2 linked regions of the Elephas maximus indicus genome follow. The protein of the gene in region 2 purifies or fractionates together with the protein of the main gene of each other region. This does not show direct contact. Links are inferred from orthologs where the notes say so. Each region holds a gene or a part of one and is shown on either strand. Other genes may lie near its edges.

Evidence for each region.
Region 1: the proteins of KAT8 (region 2) and KANSL1 purify together in Homo sapiens (affinity purification with western blotting; 4 studies listed by BioGRID and IntAct, with this or other methods). This does not show direct contact. The link is inferred for Elephas maximus indicus from reciprocal best matches to the Homo sapiens genes KAT8 and KANSL1.

The regions. Positions count from the first base shown.
Region 1 is NC_064837.1:52,968,095-52,975,318, forward strand, and holds the start of KANSL1 (KAT8 regulatory NSL complex subunit 1), read right to left. Parts: upstream 3,009-7,224; 5' UTR 2,979-3,008; intron 1,418-2,978; 5' UTR 1,276-1,417; intron 1-1,275. UniProt on the Homo sapiens protein: Non-catalytic component of the NSL histone acetyltransferase complex, a multiprotein complex that mediates histone H4 acetylation at 'Lys-5'- and 'Lys-8' (H4K5ac and H4K8ac) at transcription start sites and promotes transcription initiation.
Region 2 is NC_064830.1:90,352,093-90,359,982, reverse strand, and holds the start of KAT8 (histone acetyltransferase KAT8), read right to left. Parts: upstream 3,009-7,890; 5' UTR 2,908-3,008; coding exon 2,697-2,907; intron 1,404-2,696; coding exon 1,329-1,403; intron 1,250-1,328; coding exon 1,074-1,249; intron 1-1,073. Other genes in the region: BCKDK (3-methyl-2-oxobutanoate dehydrogenase [lipoamide] kinase, mitochondrial), read right to left, coding at 6,979-7,123, 7,216-7,374, 7,851-7,890.

The DNA of each region.
Region 1 (7,224 bases), on a different chromosome or scaffold from region 2:
CTTAAGTTTCTAGGGAACTAGTAGCCATTGATATTTCCGTCTGCTTCCCAAAGAGCACAGAGGATGCCAGGTACTGGCACTAAACACGTGGTACCGAAGAGAAACAAACATTCTTGTACAATAAGATCCTGCAATTACTATGGTTCAGGACTTCTGGCTGGGCTCCCCATGCAAACCCTCCAACTCTACAGAGAGAATGGCTGGAAAAACTATGCCACTTTGGCTTTTTTCATACTAATACAGGCACTCATTATCCACCAATAGCAGCTGGAACATAAATGAAAATGAGCACTCAGTCTACATTACCTAAAGATTTTCCACAAGTCCAAATATTTAGGGTACAGACACTGCCTTATACTGTGATTTACCTACTGCATCAACCTGGAATTCCACAGGCAGATTACTATACAATGATCTTAACTATACTAGCATCAAGCTCCAGGGAAGGCAACCTGTGCCATCTGGGGACACTGGTGGAGGACCTCCATCACTCCTTATCTTTTTCTCTGTCCTTCCTCCCCACGTCTTAGGCTTTGCCCTCTGCTTAGCCTTAATGGACAATACTTTAGCCATCTATACACAAAGGGTGGGAAAGAGGCAAGGGACAGTGGAGAACAACCACACCAACGAGTGTTTTCACCTGAAGACCATTCTGCCCACACTGTCCAAATAGCATTTACCCCATGAGATGAAACTTGACACAAAATGCTACCTGTTGAGAAAAACAGCATAAAATTTCATGCAGAAAGCTAGGGAGCAGAAGGCGTACACTCCAAAAGAGCTGTCCACGTAGACCAGCAAGTCTTAGAATGTTCTAATATACTATATAAAGTTTCAGAATAAACCAATGGTTAATGAAACACCTTTTGCAATACATGAATCAGCTGATTTGCAAGAGTGGGACACACCCTAGTACCTATGACTCTCAAGCACCTGTTTGAGAGTGGACCTCGATGTCTGAATTGCCAGCTCATCCTGCTGGGAATGGAACAGAATTTTACAACTATGTGGGTTGTCATAATTAAAACTAAAATATTGAACAAACCATTATAATGGAAGTTAATCTGAGGACTTCATCAACATTTTAACACCAGTAATCAAGACCAGTAGCAATACAAAGGGAGTGACCAATCAGTTCCTAGAAGGCAAACACAATAATTTTTGAGGGGAGAGGAGTGCCAGGTAAAGAGCTGAATAACAAATTCAAGAAGTAAAATGTTCTCAATTCTAAAGAAAATAAATGAGGCCATTAATGAAAAAAATAACATGTCTTACCTTAAGAGGCATCCAAATAGCATTCATAGTGTCAGGAATAGTTCAGACAATACTCAGAAATGAGCAAGAAGGGAGTCTTAGTAATTCCCTTGAAGTCACCAAGTATGAGCAGGTAGGAAAATTTTTTGTTTCAAGAAGTTATCTGAAAGAGAGAACTTACATTTAGACTAAAAAAAATAAATCAATAAGCAAATAGTTTAAGCTACCAGGACAGAGATTTGAAGTACTACTTGCGTCACCATCCTAAAAGATGTACAAAACAGTCAGTCTCCTTTTGGAAAGGGCAAATGTGTAGGTTTATGTATCTATCTGTACATATACACATATCCTAGATAAAATAAGTAAAACATTTTGTTGTTGTTGTTTATCAAGAATTAGAAAACCAAAATCCCAGAGAGAAAAATGATTATCCCGGGCACTTCATAAACACTACTGAAAGATAATTTGTGTTTTTTGTTGTTGTTGTTGTTGTTTACAAGCCCCTTACCACACTTAAATTTTATTTTGTAAATTAAAACCTCTCTGAGTTTTATTAGGCTTAAATTAAGTTTCAGAGCTGATTCTACTGAAAAATAAAATCTCTTGACTAAAATACTACAATCAAGGAAAAGACTCCTCTTCCCCAGAGATCTTTAAAAATCTACCAAACAACTTAATTTTGATGATGGGAGGGAGACAATTTTGCCTGGCGGCAGGAGGATGGACTAAATGACCTCTTGTAGGATCCTTGTTTAAGTCCTAGGCCTGAATGTAATTCCAGCTTAACCAGTTACTGCTTAGCTTAAAATGGAGGCTGGCCCGAGTAGGGACAAAAATGACAGCACCCACCTCTTTAAAATATATTTCGAAAAATCTAAGACGAAAGTATCCCCGTTTTTTAATAAAAAATAAAATAAAAACCTCTGGAGTGGATTTGTTCTTGGTACGTGTTTGTCACTCTGGCTTTGAAGAAATGGCATCACTTTCCTCACCGCTCATCGGATTTTTTTTTTTGGCGGGGGGGGGGGGGCCTGCAGTTTGACTCTTGCCCCAAGTCTCAGGTATGTTTAATACGCCCCTCCAAGATCCCCACATTCGAAGCCAGGAGGGGAAAGAAAAGGGAGAGCCCGAGTTCCCACCCCTCCCCCCAACTTGGACCCTTGTCCCAAACCGAATCCCCCCCCCACCTCCCCGCAGTGGGGCGACTCCTCCTGCCCCATACCCATTGTTGGGGTGGGGGAATAGGGAGGAGTGAGCTCAAGGTGGGGGAACCGGCGGCCGGCCGTTTCCCCAGCTCGCTTCTGGAGGGGCGGCCCGCGGGATGCAGCTTCCCTTCCTCTCCGCGTCGGTCCGTCCCACCTCGGCTCGGCCTGGCGCCCTGGGCTCAGCTCGGCGCCCCTGCCCCCGGCTCCGGCCTGCCCCCCGGTCAGCCAGGCTCCCCTGCCACTCGGCCAGCGACCCGCGGCCCAGTCCTGAGGGTGGGCGCAGGGCGGGGGTCCGTGTGCCCCACACACGCGTCCCCACTCCCCCAGCCCAGCCGCTTCCAGGGCCCTCGGCGGCGCCCGCTCCCAGGGCCCTTCGGCTCCCCGCCTCCTGGCCGGGCCGCCCCCTCGGGCTCTCCCCGTCGGGGCCGCCTCCCCTTCCCCACCATCACCCCTACCCACTCGTGCCCCCACCCCCCTGGGCACCAGTGCCAACGGCAGCTCCCCCAGCCCCGGACCTACCTGCACGGCTCAACCAAGCCTAGAAGTGGGGGCGGGGAATCTTTCGCCCTCCTCCGTCTCTCATTGGCCCTTCCGGGACACATCGTGGGCGCCATTGGCTGATGGCGGGTGTCCGTCAGAGCGGCGGGGCTGGACGGAAGGGGGAGAGGGATGCTGGTGCCTCGGCGTCTCTGTCTCTGTATATCTCTCTGTCTCTGTCTCTGCCTCAGCTCTTGGAAACTGGAGGCTTTTGGACTAGGGGACTGGAAAGGGGCCTGAGGTGGGAAGAATAGGCTAAGGGAATCCCTGTCGAGCTTCCCAACCGTCTGCCACTCTGACCCCCTACCTAAGTCCCCTCTCTGTCCTCTTCTCCATCACCCCCAGCCCCTGCCCCCCACCCCGGTAGATTTTTCATCCAGGAAGCGACGTGATGAAAACTCGAGGCCGGAAAGCCACAGGGAGAGATTTTATACATGTATATAAACATATAAACCCACTGCATATACACATATAAATATTTATATACATATGTATAGTTAACAAAATATAAGGTCATGAGGGCCTGGAGAGAAAAGGGCACACATCTCTGAGACAGAGGACTTGAGATATAGCCCCTATAAAAAGGAATCCAAAATCACTCTAAGATCTGGTAACAGTGGTTACCTTCTAGGAGGGGAACTGAGTGCCTGCGGAACCAGGTGGGAGAAAGACTTATATTTTTCACTGCATATCCTGATTTTTGTGCTATTCACAAAGATTACCAATTTTAAAAAACTGATTTAAATTTTTAAATAATTCTATGATCGCAAAATCAGGGGAACAGGCAAGGTGGTTGTTCAGGAAAATTGGGACAAGATACAGATTTGGGGAGGAACTTAGTTATTAATATGTTCGGTTCCAGATAGAAGCAGTAAAACCAAGTGGAGGTGTCCAGAGGCACTTGGAGTTAAGGAATTTACAAAAGGGTGAGCAATCTGAACTAGAGATTTAGGGTTCTCTGCCTAAATATAGTGGTCAATGACATGCTGATGGATAAACTCACCAAAGTATAAAAAGATACCCAACAGTTAAAGTCAGACATTTGGAAAAGAAACAGAGGGTCAGTGAGGTAAGAGAAACAGAATATGGAAGAGTTGTGAAAGTTAAGGGAGAAAGGGCCTCTGGAAAAACAGGATAATAAAATCTATGAGAAGCTCACAGATCTTGAAGCTCTCTTCAGTGATCCTCTTCAGGCTTTGGTAACCCTGTGACAGTAAGAATGAAAGCCAAAAAAAATACCCATAAAGCAGGGGTTCTTAACTTTTTTATGCCATGGACCCCCTTGGCAATCTGGTGAAACATATGGACCCTTTGGTCTCAGAACAATGTTTTTAAGTGCATAAAAAATATACATAAGAATTCATGAGACACCAAATATTGAAATATAGTTATCAAAATATTTTTAAAGTGTGATATAGTAATACATACTTTTTATCAATATATTAAATAATAAAAGCTAATGGCAGATCTAATGACCATGATAATTTTGAGCTGGTGTAGTGTTTAAGAGCTACGGCTGCTAACCAAAAGGTCAGCAGTTCGAATCCACCAGGCACTCCTTGGAAACTCCATGAGGCAGTTCTACTCTGTCCTATAGGGCTGCTATGAGCCGGAATCGGCTCAATGGCAGTGGTTTTTTTTTGTTTGTTTTTTGTTTTTTTTGGTTTTTAAATGAGCATAAATAATATTTCAAGATATCTGCAACAACTATAATACAATATGAAAATATCTGTGATTTATTTTGGTGACAAGATCACAGGTAGTGCTAATACTGCTATGGTTTGTTGTCTACATGCACAACTGAAGAAAATACTAAATTTGTTCACTTTAGTAAAAATGAAGATTTTTCCATCTATTCAAATTCATGGACTCCCTAAACTGTGGACCACGGATTAAGAAACCCTACCCTTAAAAGATCATCCTCCCCATCCTCCACACACCCATACCAGAGTGAGTCCCCACCTTCATCCCTAATCCTTGTCTCCCCCCATTCCCACAGGCCCCAAGCACTCTGATTTCCAGTCTGGCCTGTGACACAGAAGACAAAGGATTATGAGTGCGGCTTGAAGAGAGATATATATACCTTGTCTTCCTTCCAAGAAAAAAGAGAAAACTATGAAGTATATTGCAGATCTGAGACAATGGGGAAAAGAAACCCAGGATGCGGCAACATTCATTCCTAAGAAAAAAAACACATATTATAAAAAGAGAACATCTTTATCCGTTATGAGTCTTTTTTGAGTTCGTTAACGCAGCTTAAATCAGATCTAGAAGAACAGCTTCAAACTAGCTCCTTTTTTTATATATCTATAAAATGGGGCAAAAAATAGCATCTACCTTCTAGGTTTGTTGTGAGGATTAAAAGAGTTAATACACGTAACAGTTTTAACCAGTGCCTGACACAGGCTAAACACTCAACTTTCAACTGTCATTATTGTATTTGGCATCTTGTATTCCAGGGCATTCCATGAATATTGCTAGTATGATTATTCATATTAATGACATGTACAATAGCAAATTAAGAACAATAAGGTTAACTCAGAACACTTGTTTTTCATTTAAATGTTGCAAAATTGGAATATTCCATTTCTTCCAGTTATATTTACATTCCTCCAGGGAGAAGAACATCAGTGCCTCTTTAAAGGGATTGTAAACTCGGGAAAAAAAAAATTATTTTTGCTATTCGTATTACAAAAGGGCTAATTTCCATAATGCTTTATGTAAAGACCTCCTACAGACCAATCAATAAAGAAGTGCAATCCTCATACGCTGCTGGTGGCAGTGTACACTGGTACTGCCACTTTGGAAAAGACTTTCATATGATCCAATAAATTTAAGATATGCATATCCTATGTCCCAGCAATCCCACTCCTAGACCTATATTCTAAGGAAATGCATACTTTAAAGTGTCAGAATTACTGTATGACAATGTTCATAGCAGTGTTGTTCCTCATTGCCCAAAACTGGAAATATCTCAAATGTCTACCTAAGTGTAAAATGCATAAATTGTGGTATATTCGTCCAATAAAAATGAACAAACTATGATTATGCTCAACAACATGGGTTAATTTTTACAAAGGTAGTATGGAACACACACATACAAAATACAGAAGAATATATATACGTATATATGAATATAAATGTGTATAGATATACACACATACACGATATGATTCCATTTACATAAAGTTCAAAAATAGGCAAAGGTAGGTGGTAAAATTGTAAGAAAAAGCAAGGAAGAGAACACCATAAAAGTCAGGAGAGTCGGCAGCAGGGGACAGAGGGAATTGCAGTTGATGGGGGTGAGGGTGCGCATTCTAAGTGGCTGGCAGTGTTGTTGTTTTTTTTTTTTTAACCACAGTGGGTACACAAGTATTGGCTCTCGAACTATTTATTTTTAAAGTGTTACATATGTGCAAACACAAAAAAGTTTTTGTATATATATTCCACAATAAAAATGTTTTTTAAAAAAACACATCTCAGCAGGCAAAATTGTCTCGAAAGGAGAGACTGCAAGGGCTGACTCAGGGGGAGAGCAAGTGGGAGTACGGAGTAAGGTGTATATAAACTTATATGTGACGGTCTGACTTGATTTGTAAACGTTCACTTGAAGCTCAATAAAAGTTAATTAAAAAAAAAAACACATCTCAGTAGAAAAGTGGACAAAGGGTATGTCAGAAATTTCTGAAAAACGAAAATATAAATGGCTCTCAATCAAATGAAAAGATGCTCAGCTTCACTAATAAGACACACATTTAAACTTCATTGAGATATATTTTCATCTAACAGATAACAAATACAGATAATATCTGCTAACACGTTGTATTGGCAACAGAGTGAGGAAAAAAGGCATTTTTATGTATGGCTGGTAAAAGCATAAATCATTACAATATCTGTGGAGGGCAATTAAGCCATACCCACTGCTTTTGAGTCGATTCCGACTCGTAACGACTTGTTAAGACAGAGTAGACAGCCCTATGGGATCTGTAAGGCTGTGATCTTTACTGAAGCTGACTTCCACATCTTTCTCCTACAGAGTGGCTGGTGGGTTCCACTGTTTGGTTAGCAGCAGATTTGCTTTAACCACTGAGGCACCAGGGCCATGACCACCAAATTATAAATGCCTGTGTGCTTTAATTCAGCAACTCCACCTCTAGGGGCTTATTCATTCATTTCCCCAAATCTTTATTGAGCACTTACTACGTGGCAGGCATTGTCCTGGAAATTT
Region 2 (7,890 bases):
CTTTCTTCCCTTTTTAAAATTTAAATGCTGGTCACAACCCACTGAACTGGTTTTTGCAATCTACCAGCAGGCTGTGTCCCAGTTTGAAAAACAGTGCTGCAAAACACACAATAAATGCTCAGAGGAGGAAAGTGAGTTGGTTGAAACTGATAAATATCTGAATGCCGTGAGAGCTCGATTAAACCCTGTTCTGGTTTGAACTTCCTATTGTACAGATGAAGAAACTAAGTCTCAGAGTGAGGGCAACGTAACCAGCCAAGGGCAGCCTGGCTTGCAGAAAACAAAAAAACAGGTTTTGGAGACAGATGGCCTGAGATTCTATTATGTGTCACAGTCATGGTTAAGAGCTGGGCTCTGAAGTTGGACTGCCTGAGTGCAAACCTAATTCCTGACTGGATGGTCCTGAACAAGTTCCTAAACCTATCTGTGCCTCCCCTGGAAACTGAGGATAACAGTAATGCTTATTCACAAGGTTGTTGCGAGACTTCAGGGACATCACATGTGTAAAATATTTAGCATAGTACTTGGCTCACAGACCAACAAATATTTTGCACTATTATTCCAATTCCAGCTCAAAAATGAGCTAGCTGTGGGATCTTAGGCATATTACCTAACCCCTCTAATCTTGCTTCCTCACCTACAAAAAGAGATGATTATCCCTGGGGATGTTGAAATGTTGACAACGACCTGATGAACTTATACATACACAGAACATGGTGCTTGGCAAGGGCAAGTGCCTGATTATTATTCATTTTTTTACTCTTCCCTTTAGACTTCAAGTCAGTTTACCTAAGATGGCACAGACAACAAGCTGATAAAACAGGCTATGGGTACAGGACGCCTGACTTTCACTTCCTTGCTGTGAGACTATAGCTAAGCCTTACCCTCTCTGAGTCTCAGTTTTCTCATCTGTGAGGAATAAGAAGAGGAGGTAGGTAAAGGCCCTGACACACTCTTAGAGCTTAAGAATTGACAGCTGCTGTGGTTTTGGCACTGGTGACCAAGGGGCCCAAAGAAGTTGGCAGAGGTAGCTGGGCTTCCTGGGGCCCCAGGGAAGGGGAGGAGACCCAGACCTTCTGCACGTGGTTGATCTCATCATGCTTGCGCTTTTGGTTGCGAGTAATCTTGCGTTCTGGCTGCTCGGCCAGCTCACTCAGGTACTTCTCTGAGTTCTTCTGCACAGCATCCTTCACTGTTTTGGTCAGTGCCAGTCGATTCTTGTCTACCCATTCGTCCAGTCGTCGGTTAACTGTGGGGATGGGCCATGAGGGTGCTGCCCTGCCACCCTTCTCCTCCCAACCAGGCCGTGGATGCCCCAAGCCACTCACAGCCCACGTAGTGTACATAGAATTCCTCTCGGCCTTCCTGGTCATTTACTCGAGACTGGATCACTTCAGCAGAATCTGTGAAGGAAAAAGGACAGGATCATCAGGAAGGAAAGAGAGGGCTGAGACAAGAGGGATCCTGTACACTGAGAAACAGTTTCCAGATTCCAGGGCTGCATATGAGCTACCTTACCTGTCCACATCTGCCACTTAATCACTGCTACAACCCTGTAAGGTAGGCCAGGTTGGGGCTGTTAATACTTAGCTGAATTTAAGTCTGACTCCAAATTCAATGTTCACTTTACTATACACAATGATTCATTATGTATATACATATCTATATATATATATCTATATATATATAACTGAGCAAGTATTTCAGCTTTCTGAGTCTCAGTTTTTTCATGTATATAATAGAGATAATAGTACCCACTTCAGAGAGTGAGTTAATGCCTGTAAAGTTTTCAGCACAGTGCCTGACATCTAGTAAACAATTCCGTAAACGAATAAAGCAGCCACTGCGTGTCTGGCCCTATGTTGTGTTGCTGGGTACAGAGGACACAGCAATGAATCACAACAGATCCTGTCCCCAATACCCGCCCCCTGCCAGAAGTTCTCAGTTTGATGGTGAAAAACAGAGACAATTACAAAACAATGTTACATATATCACAGCTGAGGTATGAAAAAAACGTGATGGGAACATACAGAAGTGAACGACTCACTTTGCCTGAAGGGAGTCAGAAATGGCGTCATAGAGTATGTGACAATAAAGATGAGTAGGAGCTAGTCAGGTGAACCAGGGGAAAGGGAAAAAACATTCCAAGCAGAAGGCCTAGAGGGTAAAAACCATATGGTCTTCAGAGCACACAGCAGGTCTGGCAAATAGGCCTTTGTCTGGGGTGGCTAGAAACCAGAGAGCAGGTCACACAGATGAATGCCATTCTAAGGCGATTGGGGTATATTGGGGAGATGACGGAAGACAATGGAAAGGAAGGGGAAGCTCATTTTTGTGTTCTGGAAGGCCCTCTCTGCTGGCGGCTGTAGAGGGCAGATGGAAGGGGAACACGCAGAGACCAGAGACTGGTGAGGAAATAGGGTTAACAAGAAAGCGAATGAAGCCTAAGATTGGGCAAGGGAGTTGAACGGGCGCTCTATATACAACACGAAGGATCTGGTGATCGCCTGACTGAGAGGTTTGCACTGGCGCCCGGGAAGAAGTCCAGGGTTACTGGGCTGGCTTCTTAGAGCCCGCAACTCCCGGTTCTCTGTCCTCTGGCTCCACTACCCACGACTGCCAGCCCCTAGCCTTGAACCCGTCCTCAGGCCCCGCCCCCTCGTCCTTTAAACCCCGGCCCCGGGCCCCGCCCTCACGCCAGGTGCTATCCGGCCGCCGACACAGGTACGTTTCTCCGATCTCCACGGTGACCTCCGGCTCGCCGCGCGCTGGGGTCGGAGGAGAGACGCGGCCCGGGGACGGGGCGGTCCCCTCGACGGCCACATTCTCCCCGGGCCCGGGCTCGCCCTCCCCCGCGACCCCTGAAGTCGCCGCCACAACAGCCGCAGCTGCTCCCTGCGCCGCCATCGCTGTGGCGGAAGTGACGGCAGAATCCGGCGCCGCGCGGCTTTTTAGCTCCGGGTCAGCAAGGCGTGGCGGGGGCCGCGTCAGGCTTCACGGTGGGCTCTGTGATGTGGCGGGGCTTCATTGGTTTGTGTGGCCGTCCCCGCGGCGCCCGGACGAGCCTGACGGTTACCGTGCCAGTTGCCTTTGAGTTCCTTATTTTCCGTATGGAAATATGGCTGCACCCTGGACCTGAAGAGAGGAGAAAGACTTTCCTCACGTGGCAACTCAGCTCAGGATTTTTAAAGGCCTCGGTGCCTGAGGAAGACAAGATGTGCCAAATATCGGGGCGCTGCCCCCACGCTGAGCGGTCTCCACGGTTTGCCTGGCATGGGGGTATCAAGAATGTCGCAGGTCTCCCTTTGGGCTTCAGGCCTCCCCTAGCCCAATACTGGCCACACTGTTTTTGAAGATTCTAGACTCTTTCTTGCTCAGCTGGGAAGAAGGTACAGTTGGGGTGTGGGAAGCAAGACGGGTATGTCCAGAAGAGCCAGTAAGTCACCCTCACAGAATATAACCTTTCTAAAGGCTCAGGCCCCCCAAAACCAGACGTCCCCTGAACAGAAACTAGACAAAGGCAGTGGTTACTACAGAGAAAGTCTTGCGCTTAAGGCAGGAATCCTGAAGTCTGATGCTGTGCTGGGTAGGATGTACAATTTTCTGTTCAGTCAGCATTAGTAAAGGAAACCAGATATGTGTGTGTACACACACCACACATACAAGTGTATTGTACAGTGCTAGATGGGGTAAACCAGTTTCTGTTGAGTCAACTCCTGACTCATGGCAACCCTGTGTCAGAGTAGAACTGGGTGCTCTATAGGGTTTTCAGTGACTGATTTTTCAGAAGTAGGCCTTTCTTCCAAGGTCCCTCTGAGTGGACTTGAACCTCCAACCTTTCAGTTAGCATCCAAGCACATTAACTGTTCACAGGACCCAGGCAGGATAGGTCTTCCCATAAATGTTACCTTTGGCAATTCTCTGAGCCTTCTTTGATTTCCAATTTGGTTATTGGGCTTAGAAATAATTCTGAGAGGGGTGTGATCGCTCAAGGCCTAATAATGGGACTCAGAGCTTGCCAGATCAAGAAATATCAGCTGGATAACCAGACTAAACCAAAAGCAAAGAAGTTTCCTGAATAAATCGAACACTTCGAAGGCCAGAGTAGCAGGGACGGGGGTCTGGGGACCATGGTTTCAGGGGACATCTAGGTCAATTGGCATAATAAAATCTATTAAGAAAACATTCTGCATCCCATTTTGGCGAGTGGTGTCTGGGGTCTTAAATGCTAGCAAGCGCCCACCTAAGATGCGTCAACTGGTCTCAACACACCTGGATCAAAGAAGAATGAAGAACACCAAGACACAAGGTAAATATGAGCCCAGGAGACAGAAAGGGCCACATAAACCAGAGACTACATCAGCCTGAGACTGGAAGAACTAGATGGTGCCTGGCTACAACCAATTAGTTCCCTGACATGGAACACAACAGAGAATCCCTGATGGAACAAGAGAGCAGTGGGATGCAGACCTCAAATTCCTGTAAAAAGGTCAGACTTAAGAGTCTGACACTAGAAGGACCCCGGAGGTCATGGTCCCCAGAACTTCTGTTAGCCCCAGACAGGAACCATTCCGAAAGCCAACTCTTCAGACAGGGATTGGACTGGACTATGGGATAGAAAATGATAATGGTGAGGAGTGAGCTTGTTGGCTCAAGTAGACACAAGACTATGCGTGCAGCTTCTATCTGGAGGGGAGATGAGAAGGCAGAGAAGCTAGCCGAATGGACATGGAGGATACAGGGTGGAGAAAAGGAGTGTGCTATCTGATTAGGGGAAGAGGAACTAGGAGTACACAGCAAGGTGTATATAAATTTTTGTATGAGAGACTGACTTGATTTGTAAACTTTCACTTAAAGAACAATTTAAAAAAATATATCAGCTGGGTATCTGTGGGGGATGGCGGTGGGAAGTGCTGATAATTTGGCTCGTGGGAAATGGAGGACTCTGGGGGCTGATGAATGCCAGGTGTCTGGCAGCATAAAAAAGAACCAAAAAACAGGCAAGAAAAAAGTTAAAATTCTATTGACTCTCCCCACCCCTCTCCTATCTGCAAGATTGTTATTTTACCCAGCCAGGGTACTGGTGCCTCATTTTTGACTTAACTGGACACATTCAGTTACCGATGCTATCCTTTCTAGTTAAGGATTAGCCTAGGCCTTACAAACCCCTGACCAAGGTCACTGCATCAGCCTCCTCATTCTTCAATCCACCAGCCACCAGTGATTCTTCTAACATGCAAATCAGATAGTTCCTCCTAGGACTATGCAGGTGTTCTGCCCAGATCCCCAGGATCCCTTTTCTTTGTGTGCCTCAATTCTCTTTGACTTGTACTTTCTAAGGCCAGCACCTGGGGCTCTTTGGTGAGTTGCCTTCGAGCTAATAGAGCTGTTTTGCCTGGAAATGCTGAAAAGGTAAGATTTCAACCCGGGAATTTAAGTACATACCCACTCCCACTTCCCAGCATAGCCATTAAGGAATGATTGTCAAGTGGAAGAGTGAATCAGTGCTGGTGAGCTTAGTTAGTTCTCTTACCTCCAACTCTGAGGCATAACTTACTGGCTCTGGACTGTTGTCGGAGATCTTATCCCTGCTCGACTTCCTCCCCTCCCCTCTCCTGCTTCCCCTACTCCCTCTGGGTCTTTCCTGGGAGCATGTTCTTAACAGATCACTTGGACACAAGTCCTCTCAGGGTCTACTTCTAGGGAATCCAACCAGAGACATCCCTTCTTAGCCTAAAACCTGTCCATGGATCCTCACTGCCTTCAGAACAAAACCCAAGCTTCTAGGCTGCACATTCAAAGCCCTACACCCTCTGGCTGCTGCCTGTTTCTCCAGCTTCACCACCCTGCCCTGCAGACAGAAGTTTTGCAGCCCAGCAAATCATTTCCCACCACCTGCCATTTGACCTCCAGATACAATTTCCTGTCTCCTCTACCAGCCATCACCCTGAAGGGTAGGAAATGGGGTAGATCTAGAGCCAGCCTCAGGAAGTTAGCTGTCAGAGCTCAGAGATGTGAAGGCAGAGACAGAGTAAGACGTTTGCTTAATCCCACCAGACACGCCCAGAGGGCCTTTCTTCTCCTTTCCTGGCAAGATGAGCAAGGGGTTCCCATCTGAGACCCCCCTGGGAAGTTCTGCTTCAAGCATAACCTTGAGCCTACTTGCTGTCTTGGGCCCTTTTCTTTTGCCCAACACCCTGGCCTCCTACCAGAGCCCCACCTTTCTCTGGTAGGGCACCCAGTCCTTGCTGGGGCCTGCCAGAAAACAACCTTGTGTGTTCCTTTCCTTGGTGGCAGCAGACACAGCTGGCGGGCAGTATTTTTAACCTTACTCAGGCTCAGGAATCAGGTGGCTCAGAAAGTTGCCCAGTCTGGTAAGTTTCACCTCCAGAAATCGTGACTGGCAGGAAAGAGTCAGAACTGAGGCCTAGAGCTAGGCCAGCCTGGGCCTTCGATATTGTCTGGGATCCATAAACGTGTACTAAATAAAAGGTCTTCGCACAAGCTGTCAAAGTCACTCTCACTCCCACCAAATCAAATGTGCGAGAGACTTGAACCCACTTTTACTCCTGGGCTGCTGGGACAGAGAGACTGAGACATGAACCATTTAAACTCAAGAATCAAGGACTCTGAACAGGGGCAAAAGCAAAAGCTCACCTGCCTTCCCCACACACAGGGCCCAAGAGGGCATTCAAAATGTGAACTTTAATAATAAACAGCAGGTCCAAGTGGGGGAGGTCCCCCAGGAACAAGAATGATGGAGCTGGTGCTGGAGGCCTCATGGGTCCCCATTTCCCCTTTCGAAGGCCTGGAGGCAGGGAGGATGGGGGTACCCAGCTCCACATAAGTCCATCTGTCTAGGGATCTAAGACCCAAGATGCAGCAGCAAGTGGAACAGGTTGGGACCCTGCCTAACCTGGAAGGTCTTGGCAGGGAACGTGGCCCAGGCTGGGCAGGCAAGCAGGCCAAGGACTTGGGTCAGATGCGGAAGCTCTCCTCCCGGCCATCGATGTGGCGGAGCCGCAAGTAGACATCCGTGCCAATGCCCTGCAGGGACTGTAGCTGCAGGGAACCACCAAGGTACTCCGCGTAGGCCCGTGATGTGGGCAGCCCGAAGCCAAAGCTGAGGGTGGGCAGGGGATAGGATAGGAGGCTTCAGAGGCTTGAGTCCCCTGGGGCCCCCCACCCCTCCATCCTGGCCAGGTGGCGCCTCACCCATGCATGGGTCCTGACTGGCTGCCACTGTGCATGTCCAGGTGGCCAAAAAGGGGGCTGATCCGGGGGTCCTGGGTGCTGGCCTCGGCCGTAGTGAAGTGGTAGTCCATGACCCGATCCAAGTCTTTGTGAGCGATTCCCCCGCCCCGGTCTGAAATCCTGGCAGGATGCCGATAATGGGCTTGGCTCAGTATTGACTCCCCACCTCCCAAGCAGACAGTGTGAAGTCTGCCTTCCTGTTCATTCCACCCAAAGGTAGAATGCTGTCCACCCAGACTCCTGGACGCTGCTTGGAGAGTGTCCTTTCTCCATCCTCACTGATGCTTGGGATGCTGACTGCTTATACGTTCTCACAGGACTTGACATTTACCCTCGGCCCAGCACCACTTACTGCTTACTCCTGAATGTTTCCCAATTCCAGGCCCCTCAGTTGTTGACAGGGGCACTGCCCTGGGCCTGCAGCTGGCCCCGGATTCATTAATATCCAGCTCATGGGAATCTCAGGACAGAGAGTATCTTGTCGGACCAGACACCAGGTCCCAGAGTGAGGCAGGTACTGGCTTAGGTCACACAGTAAGTCAGAATCAGTGCCTGGAACCTCTGTCCACCCCACCCAACTCCCACTCAGGGCAAACCTGATGACGAGATCGATATCATTGTTGGCGATGGTGATGA